3 linked regions of the Canis lupus familiaris genome follow. The protein of the gene in region 2 interacts with the protein of the main gene of each other region in a biochemical or structural test. Links are inferred from orthologs where the notes say so. Each region holds a gene or a part of one and is shown on either strand. Other genes may lie near its edges. The genes, in order: NPPC, NPR2 and NPPA.

Region 1 (3,743 bases), on a different chromosome or scaffold from region 2:
GCACGCAGCCCAGTCAAGTCTGGCTGCACGGAGGAAAAACCCAGGGCAGGTGGGAGAGGAGTGCCCCTGAGCTGGGTGGGGCATGTTTCTCTGGCCATCGACAAACATTTTTAAAAGCCTCTTGTGGGAGTGCTGTCGGTCCCAGATCACCTTAGGCAGGCACCTGGCCCTCAAGCTGCTCATGAGTTAATTTGGAGGAGGTAAATAGGTTCCCAAACAACAATGGTTCAGATGAAAAGTGTTCTGTGCTGAGGCAATGTCCTGGAGAGCTCCAAAGAGGGGCACACTCATTGCCCTCTGGGGGAAGACAGTGTGGACACTGACAGGGCTTCTTGGGCAAGAGAACGGCTTGCCCGTGGTCTTGGAGTGGGATAGATAGGCTGTGGGACCAAGGATGGCAGCAGCCAGGCTTCAGGGAAAGGTTGAAAACCAGAGTCAGTTCTTAAATGTGAACTTCAGAGGTGGGCTCTGTATTTCCATGGGAACTGAAGGGCAGCAGGAGTGGACAGGAGGGCGGAGGCGGGGACCATCTTTGCCACACTGCCAGGATGCTGGCAGGGGCTGAAGGTAGCACAGGGGTTTCCAGCCCTAGTGGAGGGGCCCAGGCATGATGGAGGTGGGAAGCTGGGGAGGAGCTCAATTTGGGACATGCTGAGGTCCAAGTTGGGGCAAAAAAAAAAAAAAAAAAAAAAAAGAGATTTATTTTAGTCTTTTTCCCTGCCCTGAAATAGTGCCACAAACACTGGGGTTCTATCCTGAAGTCACAAAGGCAGCAAGCAGCATCAGGACCCTGGACAGACCAGTTTGCTCATAGCGGCAGGTTAGAGAAGGGGTAAGAATTAGAAAGCTTTGGGGCAGAAGGGCATCCTGGTGATGCCAACAGAGGGCTATTCTATTGTGGAGGGGCAGGTGTTTTTCCAAGTATGTCCAAGTTAGTCCCGGGAAAGAGCCCTGACCTCTGGGCTGCCTACTGCCTGGGCACCACGATCCAGGGCTGGCAGGTAAACTTACCCTCCGCTTGTGCGTATGCCCTTCCTTCTCTGCTCCCACAAACCCACGGTCTCCCCTCAATACCCTCAAATGGTCAACTGGGACCAGTTCTGCTGGTTTGCTCAGGGTCCGGGTGTGAGCAGGACCCCACTCCTCCCACGGCCCCTCACAGTCGCGGTGTCCATGCAAGCTGTCGGCTTCTCTAGAGGAGGTTAGGTGGCTCATCCGGGTGGAGCCGTTTCTGACCTCGCCCAAGTCCCCTAACCGCTTTATCCCTCACTTTTTTCATCTGTAAAATGGGACGATAATGGGGTTGGGGGCAAATGGCTCGCGCGCACACGCTCGCTCGTGCCGGGATCGCCTGGGTCTCCTCCAAAGGGCGCCGCGGGGGATCCGGGAGGCCCGGGCTGCGGGCGGGGGTCGGGGGAGCTCGGTGCGCACAGGCCCCGGGCCGGGTTGGTGGTACTCACCGCCGCCAGGGGTCGCCGCACTAACATCCCAAGCCGCTCATGGAGCCGATCCGGTCCAGCTTGAGGCCGAAGCAGCCCTTGGACAAACCCTTCTTGTTGCCTCCTTTGTATTTGCGCGCGTTGGGGTGCTCATGCAGGAGGCGCACCCACGCGGCCCGCGACTTGGTGTCCACGCGCAGGTCCCGGAGCAGTCGCGACCGGTCGCCCTTGAGGTTGGCGCCGCCGCCCCCGGGAGTTTTGTCGCCCTTCTTCTGACCGCCCCCCGCAGCCTGGGGCTCGGCCAGCTCCTCCCCGGGCGGAGTTCGCGGGACCTGTCCGAGGGAAAGGACCGGCAGGTGAAGGGACGCCCCGCGGCAGCGCCAGGTACTTGGCGGGACCCCTGCTGCTCTGGCCCGACGCCCCGCCAGCGCGATTTGTCCCTTCGGAGACCCGAGCGCGCCCCCACAGACGCGGGACGGCTCGGCCCTGCATCCACCTGCCACGCAGCCGCCTTGTCGGCTCCTTAGGGGAGCCCTTGCCCTCCCGTCCTTTGCGCCCTGCCGGGCTGGCCACACTGGGGCAGGGGCTGCGCATCTGTCGACGTTCTCCTGAGGCTGGGGATGCAGCCCCCCGAGGCGGTGTCGAGGGCTCCCCGGCTCGCACCCGTGCACGTCTCGGAGGAGAGGGCCGCCTTCGCGCCCTCTGCTCCCTCTCGTGCGCTGCAGCCTCCTAGGCCCCCAGCCCTCCCACAGCCCCTCACAGTCCCGATGTCCATGCAACAGCACCCACCTTCGGCGGTGTCCCGGGCTTGGCTTCGGAGGGCCGGAGCGAGAGTAGCGTGAGCAGCAGGGCGCAGGCCAGCAGCTGCGAGAGGTGCATGGTGCCGGTGGGGTCGAGGGGCGCAGACCAGCGGCAGCGAGGGCGCACGGGCGGCGGGCAGACGGGCAGGCGAGCGCGGAGCAGGCAGGCTGGGCTGCGGTGTGGGCGCGAGTCCCAGTGCTGCGCGGCGCCGGCTGGGTGCGCTCTGAACCCGCGGCTCCGCTCGCGCCTTTATAATCCAACCTGCCGCTGATGTCATCCTCCCGCCCACCCGGCTGCCCGGGCCAATGGCACGCGCGCCGAGGGCCCGGAGGGGGCCGTGGAGGCTCCCCCACTGCCCCCACCTACATCCCACCCCCGAGGGATGCCGCTCCGCCAGCTCTCTCCCGCCGCACTCGCGGCTGCACAGCGGCGCGCACAGGGAACTCCATTTGCAGCGAGCGCGTGCCAGGCATGCCAAGCGTTGGTGCTCCCGGTGCCCCGCACACACGCTTGGACCTCAACACACGCGCTCTCCCTAGGAGGGATCAGTTTCCCTCTTTGCAGGTGCAAAGACTGGCTCAGAGGAATTAAGTCATTTGCCCAAAGCCACACAGCCAGAAAGTTGGCACAGCCCGAAATCCACGCAGATCTGCCTTGTTGCCAAACTCTTCCCTGGGCACCAGGCAGGAGCAGGCCTGGTACTGCGGCTCCAGTACCTTTCACCTACTCGGGAGTTCAGACCGCACCAACGTCTTTAAGTTAGGGAGGCAGAGGATGGGGTGGAAGCTGGGCCTGAGGCGCAGGGAGAGCGAGGTTTGAGGTTTGCCCCGGGGCCGCAGGGGGGAGCGCAAGTCCTACACCGGAGACTGCAAGCTTTTTGCCTGCGGGTGTTTCTGAGAGTGAAACGCGAACCGGATGGGCTAAGACGGGAGGCCGCAGATACCGGTGCCCACGCGTGTGTGCAGGAGCATCCTGTACCCGTCACTGTGGCTCTAAGTTCGCGCTCAGCCGGGTCCGCTGCACCGAACCCTCGAGGTCTGACCCCGGTAGCTTTCGTGTGCACTCACCGGTGTGCACCTGAGCCAGTCTGTCCCCGCGCCGAGCAGGCCGTTCTCCGCGCGGACCCGCGCACCTGCACCGGCTGCAGAGAGAGCTTTACCAGCTTCGAGCCCAGTATGGCTTCCGGGGACGTGACAGGTGGTTGCCTTCCTTTTTTTCAGCCTTAGATAGTCAGGACAAAGTCACCTAGACCCGCTGCTCACAACTCCCTCTCCTGGGACAGAGTGTCTTAATGCCTTGGGCTCCAAGGAGTCCCTTCGGGATGGGCAGAGGAGGCAGAGAGCCTGGGACCTCAAGAACTGAGTGAGGTGCAGAAATGTATGATCCCATTGCCACCCCACAGGACTCTGCTGGAGAGCACTCCCCGGGGCCAGGGCGGTGGTCCCTAGGTGCCAAGACCGAAGCCAGGTACAGGTGCCTGCGGGAGTTTGTATGTTGCTTCCC
Region 2 (3,743 bases):
TGTTCCCTGGTACGATTGTCCTGCCAGGGCCGGCCTGTAGATCGTGTGGGCCCTGCACGAAGACTCTCCCCGAAGACGTCCAGGTAAAAGAAGACATAATCCCCATTGGTCAGGTTCTCCCTCTGGGCCTGAAGTAGGATTTCATGCAGCATCTCCAGAGGGCCACAGATATACACAACTAGGAACGGGTACAAGACAGAGGGACATTCTGAGAAAGTCCCCAAACAGCCTCTTCTCTGAACCATCTGCACTTCCATCTTTAGCAAGGAAGAAAGTGCCCTAACCTATCAACCACCCAACATATGCTCCCCATCCCTTCCCCCGGGAGTCTATGTCATAAGGACCCTCAGGCCTTATGGACCATCTGGCAGAGGTCAGAGTCTGACTCCAGACCCCAGAGGAAGGGAGCTATCAGCTGTAAGCCCCTCCTCTTCACAGAGCTCTTGATTGTTGCACCCCACCCAGCCCTCCTCACTGCCCTGCTCTGCCCTGCCTTCCCCTAGCCTCAAAGGCACTGACATCTCAAAATTTCTCTCAGTGTCAGCTTTTCCCTGTCTTTCCCAAACAAATCTGCTAAACCCAAAGGTTCATTTATGGAGTCCTCACTCCTTTTCTGCCACCAAGGGGTCTTGGTGTCCCAATCTCATAAGTCTCTGCTCACAGATGGACACACATTCACTACTCGAGCACTAATTTCATACTGCTCCCCAAATTCAATTCCCCCGCAATCCCACATTCTTCCCTGATGCAGGATTCACTTCTCATTCAATCTTAAATCTTATCCCTTGTTTACATCTGCCTGTGCCGTCCATGGGCCCCCCTAATATAATGCCTCAACCTTCTCACAGGTGCTCTGTCCACAAGTGCTTCTCGACCCCAACCACCATGTACAGTTCCTCCATGCCCACCTCCATCTACAATTCCCCAGCGCTGAGCTCCAGGGATCCAGCGACCCTCCTCCCCTGACCCTCAGATAGCCTGGGCCACACTCACTGCGCCCGTTGGCCCGGATGAAGTGGGTGGCCTGCTCAGGACCCCCTGGCTCACGGGCATACACCTGGTGCTGCACACTGAGGTTGCTGCCCTGCAGGGCCTCAAAGACGCCCTCGATGGTGAAGTAGTGAGGCCGGTCATCTGTGCGAGCATCCAGATACAGCAAGGCAGCACGGGCAGTCCAATTGAAGTGCCCGTGTAATGTCACTACAAACTCACCCAGCTTGGGAGCAGAGGGGCCAGTGCGCACCAGGGTACGATAATGCTCATTCTTAGCTGCAAAACCAGAGGCCACAGCACCGGCAGTCAGCAGGGGGAGACGCCAATGTGAGGCAAAGCGGGCCACAGAGGCAGCAGGGTACACGCAACCGGGGCCCAACAGAAGATCGGGGTCATGGTACAGCTTGAGGTCCACAGCGCGCAGCGGTGCCAGGTACTCAGAGCAGGCGCCATCTAGTTCAGAGCTGACAAACCTCAGGTCCACGGGCAGTGCCCGACCCAGCGCCTCCACAGCTAGTGCCACAGCAGGACCCACGCGTGGCCAGGCCCAGGCATAGCTCAGGTTGTGTTCTGGTAGCACTACCGCCAGCGTCAGGTTCCGCGCCCCGGGAGGACGCACCCCACCTGCCAGGGCTGCCACCAACAGCAGGAGTGATGGCAGTGCCATGGGGAGAAAGCAGCAGCCCCCCCGCCCCCAGAACCTGGCGCCACTCTGGCCTACCAGGGAGGCACAAGCACCACCCAGCCTGGGACCTGGGGAAGATGGCCAGGAAGAGAAGTGAGGAGAAGCTAGGTAGGCTGGGATACAGAAAGTGGTGGGGATGGGAGAGGAGCAGATGGCAGGAAGCCCCCCGGGGATGGGTGAGGAAGGAGTGGGTCTACCAGCCTGGGGCAAGGACTGAGGGCTGAGTTGGGTGGCAGGAAAAGGGAGGGACCCAGGGGGCCTGCGACAGGGATGGGGACAGTGAGAGGTGGAGAAGCCTGATAAAGCTGAGAAGGAAAAGTGGGACGGGGTGGGGGTGGGGGGGAGGCTGGTACAAAGGAAAGGCCTGGGGGTACCTCACCGCTGAAGGGGCTAGGAGGAGGGCTGAGGGCTGCGGAAAGGAGGACCAAGGGGGCAAGGTGGGAGGGGGCCCGCGCCGCCCAAGGACTGGGACCATGGGCGGGCGGGGAGCGAAGCGAGGCCTGGGCCGGAGGAGAGGGAAAGGCAGGGGTAAATCTCCCTGTGAAGGCTTCTCCTGAAGCTCCTGCTTGGACTAACGGGCCCAGGGCGCCGGTCCCATCCGGAGCTGCGGCGGCCCCGCCCGTGTCCCAGCTCCTCTGTGCTCCGCTCCTCCTGGGCCCGGGCGGCCGCCGCTGCCGGCGCTTCCTCCCGCCCCCCGCCTGGGCCCCCAGGCGCGCCGCTAGTCCAGGTCAGGTCGCCGCGGCCCGGCCCGTCTCCGCTCGCTGCGCCGGCGGCGGCGGCCGAGTGTGACTCCCCGGGCAGGCCGCCCGCGCCCGCGCCCGCCCCCGCCCCCGCCCCGCGCCTACCCCGCCCCCGCCCCCGCGGCCCCTCCTCCTCCCCCTCCCGCCCCACCCTCTGGCGCCTGCTGTCTCCCCCCCCACCCCCTACCCCGGCGCCCGGGGACGTCCCAGGTCTCCAACCCATCCAGGGACAGCTCAGGGGCTCCGCGCTAGGGCCTGGCAGGCAGGCGAGGTTCCCGGGCGCCCGCTCACTTCAAGGGCCTACTTCTGTCTCCCCCAAGCCCCGGCCCGCTCCGCCACTCTCTCCCCATCTTGCACAGGGCCGCGAGCCCAGAACTTCTCTTCTCCCCACTCGCACATCCCGCTGTTCTTAGAGTCCCCTCTCCACTCCCCTGAGTCCCTCCAACGCTCCCGTCTCCAGGAAGCAGTCAGGAATCCCCAAATGTTTGGTATCCTCACTTGTTCTCCACCTAGTAAACCAGAGCACCCTTCTCATTGCCAGGAACCTCTCACTCCTTCACCAGGAACACATGCCTGCTACCTGGAAGACTGACGCCTCCAGGACCAAGGGACTCCGATGACTGATTTTGCCTGAGCCCTTACAAAGCCCATGGGTTGGTCTCCTTCTTCCTTAGACCTCAGCCCTCCAACCTCCCTCTTCCTTCCCCATGCTCCCTTCTGGGCCCTCCCATGCCCTCAGAGGCCCACCATAGCCTGCTGGGCCTCTACCACACCATCTGCTCCAGGGACCCAGCCCAGGAACAGCCTCCCCTCTTTGTCTCCCTGCACAGCCCAGGCTTGCACCTGATAACAGCTCATGGGCTGACTAAGCAGAACATTTCCCCGCCAATGGAAGCCCACTGTATCCCCCTTGGGTTCCATCCTGCTCCCAAGCCTACAACCTAGAAGGCTCTCCCCAGATACCCCCATCTGGCATGCCAATCTGATCCTGAGAACAGCTTATGAGGGATGATATCATGGTTGCTGGGAGGGGCTGCTATAGGACCTTGGGGAGTTTCTCTCAAATTGTCATAAAGGAGATGTACATAAATCTATTCTCCTCCCCCTTCAGAGAGCCACAGTTTGTCTCCCCCTCCAACCCTCTTCTCCGGAAACCACAGTGCCAAGAAACTGAGAGCTCCAAGAGTAGAGGGAGGGGTGTAGGTGTGCAGAGAGGAGGGGCCTAGTTTCTTTGAGATGAAGGCGACACCTAGTGGTTTTGGGGGGAAATTAAGGACAATGACATTTTATTCTTAGGTGTTTATATATCTTTATTGAACACTAGC
Region 3 (3,697 bases), on a different chromosome or scaffold from region 2:
GAGCAAAATCTGAAAAATAAGTGCCCTCTCCGTCCATCTCCTGGGGCATTTTCGGGATCTGTGATGAGGCCAGAGTGAAGAAACAAGATTGTGAACTGCAATTTGAGCCCCACCCACACCTCCAACCAAGGAAAAAGCTGGGGGTGAGGGCTGGGGAGGGAATGAAAGGAGAAAAAAAGTTGTCCAAACCCGCAGAATGCTCAACACCAAGGCTTGACCCTAATGTCAAGTGTGGGCTCCGGGTGGTAAGAATGTGCTGGTGTAGAGTCATGGTGTGTAGCAAGGGCACGGCTCTGGCCGTGCGGGAGGGAGGCCCTGCGTGTGTGCAGCAGGCGGTTGTGGGAGACCTCTGTACTTTCTGCTTAATTTGGCAGCGAACCTGAAACTGCTCCCCGAAATAGAGCGTACTGTGTTTGAAAGGAAGAAGAAAGAAACTGAGCGCTCTCCTCTCTGGCAAAAGGTAACCGGGTCCTCAGACTGGGAGAAGAAAGACCACGCCAACCACGCCACCCGCACGCCAACCACGCCAACCCAGACTTGGCTGCTGTCCGTGGTGCTGAAGTTTATTGGTTTTCAAACCCCTTTCAGTAACAGGTGAGTGTCTATGCTAAACTGTTAACGCGTGGGGTGGGAGGGGTGGGAAAGCCACAATTCAGCCAAGTTATCTACGTTTAGCATAGAACGTGAGAAACATCGCCAAGAGGCTGCAGCTTGAATACGGTCTCGGTGCTCGTCACGGCTCAACTTGATGGCAATGAGCTGGGACAAAGTTGAGTGAGAGACCCCAAGGGACGAGGGTCTCTCAGAGTCTGCCCCCGGGCCAGGGCCTCCTTTTCCTCCCTGGCCATTATCTTCAGTACTACAAAGAGAACAGACACAAGTTTGACTTGGTGACCTGGCTCTTTTGGAAAGGTCAATCTCACAGGACTGTGTTCACTTCCCACCAGCACCCCCCACCCCAGCCTGACAACGCCAGGAGTTTCACGAATGGGTGCACAAGTTGCTCGGTAAAAGTTAGAAGTCAACCCCGATGGCTTGCTTGCTTGCTTGCTTGCTTTTTTTCTTTTTAAGATTTATTTATTTGAGAGAAAGAGAAGAGCACCAGCACATCCATGTGTGCGTGAGGGGAGGGGCAGAGGGAGAAATCTCAAACAGACTCCCCGCCGAGCATGGAGATGGACATGGGGCTGGAGCCCCACCTGGAGCTCGATCCCACAACCCATGAGAGCATGACCCAAGCGGAAATCAAGAGTCGGGCGCTCAACCTACTGAGCCACCCAAGCACCCCAACCTGGTCATGATCATTTCATCCTTTGGGATCTGGCAATTCTGGGGAGAAACATGAACTACCGATCAGCAGGATGAAGGTGATTTGGCCCCATGAACATTTTAAGTTCCCAGTGTTCATGGCAGTACCTTTTTTTTCCCTTAGAGTATCCTTGGCAGCCTGTAGCTGAGGATGAGGTCATTGCCCCAAGTTGGGGCAAGCATTTCAAAGGAAGTAAGCTTCCACCCTGGTCTCTACTGCAGGAGGCATGCCCTGGCCGGACTTTTTGACAGGGTGAAACCACAACTAACTTCCTCCCCATCCTGTATCCATCCCCAGCATCTCTTACCCGGAAGCTGTTGCAGCCCAGTCCGCTCTGGGCTCCAATCCTATCCATCCTGCCTCCGAAGCAGCTGGACCTCCGCAGGCTCCGAGGGGCAGCAAGCAGGGCTCTCAGCTTGCTCTTCAGGAGGGCAGATCTATCGGAGGAGTCCCAGGGGCTGCGCCCAAGGGCACCCCCATCTCTCTGGGCTGGGCTGACCTCCCCCGTCCAGGGAGGCACCTCAGGCAGGGGGCTGAGAGCTGCCCCAGCTTCCGCATTCTGCTCACTCAGGGCTTGGGGAGACTCGGCTTCATCTTCTAAAGGCATCTTGTCCTCCAAGCGGTCCAGCAAGTTCTTTACAAAAGGAACACACAGGGAAAGGGAGAGGTCTCACTGACCGGCACAGCGTCACAAGGCCCCCTGGCCCCGCACTGTGGCCCCTGTTCTGGCCCTACCTTGAAATCCAGCAGGTCTGCGTTGGACACAGAGCCGTACACGGGGTTAGCGCCCGTCTGCCCCAGGAGCTGAACTGCCAGGAAGAGGAGGAAGCTTGCGGCGATGGGGGAGCCCATGCTGGCGTCGCTCGAGGAGTGGCCCGGTGCTTGCTGCTCCCCTGTCCTCTCGCCTCCCTCTCTCAGCCTCCGTCTGCCTCTGTCTCCCAGCTGCCCTGCGCCTCCTCTTTTTATAGCCCCCCGGCTCTCCAAGAGCACAAGAGGGACGGAACCCTCCCCATTCTGTCACTTGCAGCGATAAAGCAGCTGAATGAGGAGCAGCAGAAGATGGCCTTTTAAAGCTATCAGGCCCGCAGAGCCTGTCACTACCCCTCCACCTTGAGCAGCCCAACAGCCCCGGACCCTCAGCGGCAAGAGCCACATTCTTGTTGATTTGCCTCAAGAGGTTCCCACTTCAAAGGTGTGAGAAGAGCAAAAAAGAGTCCTTGGTTATCTTACAGCGATGCCTGGGGCTTCTTTCTCCTCAGCAACGGGACCCACGCAGGGAGGCAGAGGGTGACGGTTGGCCGGCGCCCAGCTCCCCCGGTTGGTTTTCTGCTCAGCTGTCAGGGGCTCCAAATAAGGGCGGGAGGGGAGGAAGTGGCAGGAAGCCTGCAGCTCGGGACAAATTAGTCCAGATGCTCACGCTGGCCTCACACCTGACTCATCGGCCGTGGGGGCAGACCTCCCCTCCAGCTGGGCCGCCCTCGCTCCTGGCACTCGCTCTCAGCGGTCAGGTGAAGAGGGAGTTATTTTTTAGAGTATTAAATAGTCAGCCTGGAACCAAATGTGATGAGTGTCCCAAGAATTCAGCTCCCAGACATAAACACCAAGCAAAGTTTTGGAAACACAGCCATCCCTCCGCCAAGCCCCTCCTCCTTCCCCTCTGCAGTGTGGAGGGAGGTGGGTTTGTAGAGATGCCAACATTTTCATCCCATCACCTCGCTGCCCATAGAACCCCAGGCTCTGAATGTGAGGCTTCCGACGCCCCCAACCCTCCCGGGAAACCTCCCTTGGCGAGTCGGCGGGTGGGGAAGTGGCACACGGTTTCCCTTAATGCCTCCTGCGTCCTGCTGCGAGGCCACACGAGTGATGAGCCACCAAGGCCTCTGCTTTCCTGGCCCCAAAGAGAATTTACAGGCAGCAAGACTGTCCTGTCCACGTGTAACGAGTGGCTTCCATTCACTGAGCACCGAACTCCACATTGATGGATTGATTGCTTCCTACTCGATGCACCAGGTACCGGGGGGCAAATGCTAAGTGTGAAGGGTGGAGAGGCCTGCATCGTAGCCCCAGACAAACCGGGTTACACACATCATCACCGCCTCATTTTCCCCATTTGTAAAAACCTGCTCCCCCCACCAAGGTTGTCAGGTGAACTAAGGTGTGAACGCACCATGAAGGGCCATCTGTTTGCAAGATGGTACTGACGGTTACCTTTATTGAGCAGCTGTATGTGCCAGACGCTGTACCGAGAGCTCCGTGTGGATGACCTAACTGCCATCACCGCCCGTTCAGGGGGGCGCAGACTGAGGCAGAGGTTATGTCCCCTGCCCAAGGTCACTCAGCTCCCAAGTGGCAGAGCCAGGGCTCGAACCCCAGGTCTGACGCCAATGC

What was found.
Region 1: the proteins of NPR2 (region 2) and NPPC form a complex in vitro, tested with the Homo sapiens proteins (3 studies listed by BioGRID). The link is inferred for Canis lupus familiaris from reciprocal best matches to the Homo sapiens genes NPR2 and NPPC.
Region 3: the proteins of NPR2 (region 2) and NPPA form a complex in vitro, tested with the Homo sapiens proteins (3 studies listed by BioGRID). The link is inferred for Canis lupus familiaris from reciprocal best matches to the Homo sapiens genes NPR2 and NPPA.

What each region holds. Positions count from the first base shown.
Region 1 is NC_049246.1:43,898,914-43,902,656, forward strand, and holds the start of NPPC (C-type natriuretic peptide), read right to left. Parts: upstream 2,452-3,743; 5' UTR 2,319-2,451; coding exon 2,229-2,318; intron 1,772-2,228; coding exon 1,481-1,771; 3' UTR 1,461-1,480; intron 1-1,460.
Region 2 is NC_049232.1:52,614,264-52,618,006, reverse strand, and holds the start of NPR2 (atrial natriuretic peptide receptor 2), read right to left. Parts: upstream 2,376-3,743; 5' UTR 1,661-2,375; coding exon 994-1,660; intron 179-993; coding exon 1-178. UniProt on the Homo sapiens protein: Receptor for the C-type natriuretic peptide NPPC/CNP hormone. Has guanylate cyclase activity upon binding of its ligand. May play a role in the regulation of skeletal growth.
Region 3 is NC_049223.1:83,881,184-83,884,880, reverse strand, and holds NPPA (natriuretic peptides A precursor), read right to left. Parts: upstream 2,337-3,697; 5' UTR 2,162-2,336; coding exon 2,045-2,161; intron 1,944-2,044; coding exon 1,617-1,943; intron 860-1,616; coding exon 854-859; 3' UTR 538-853; downstream 1-537.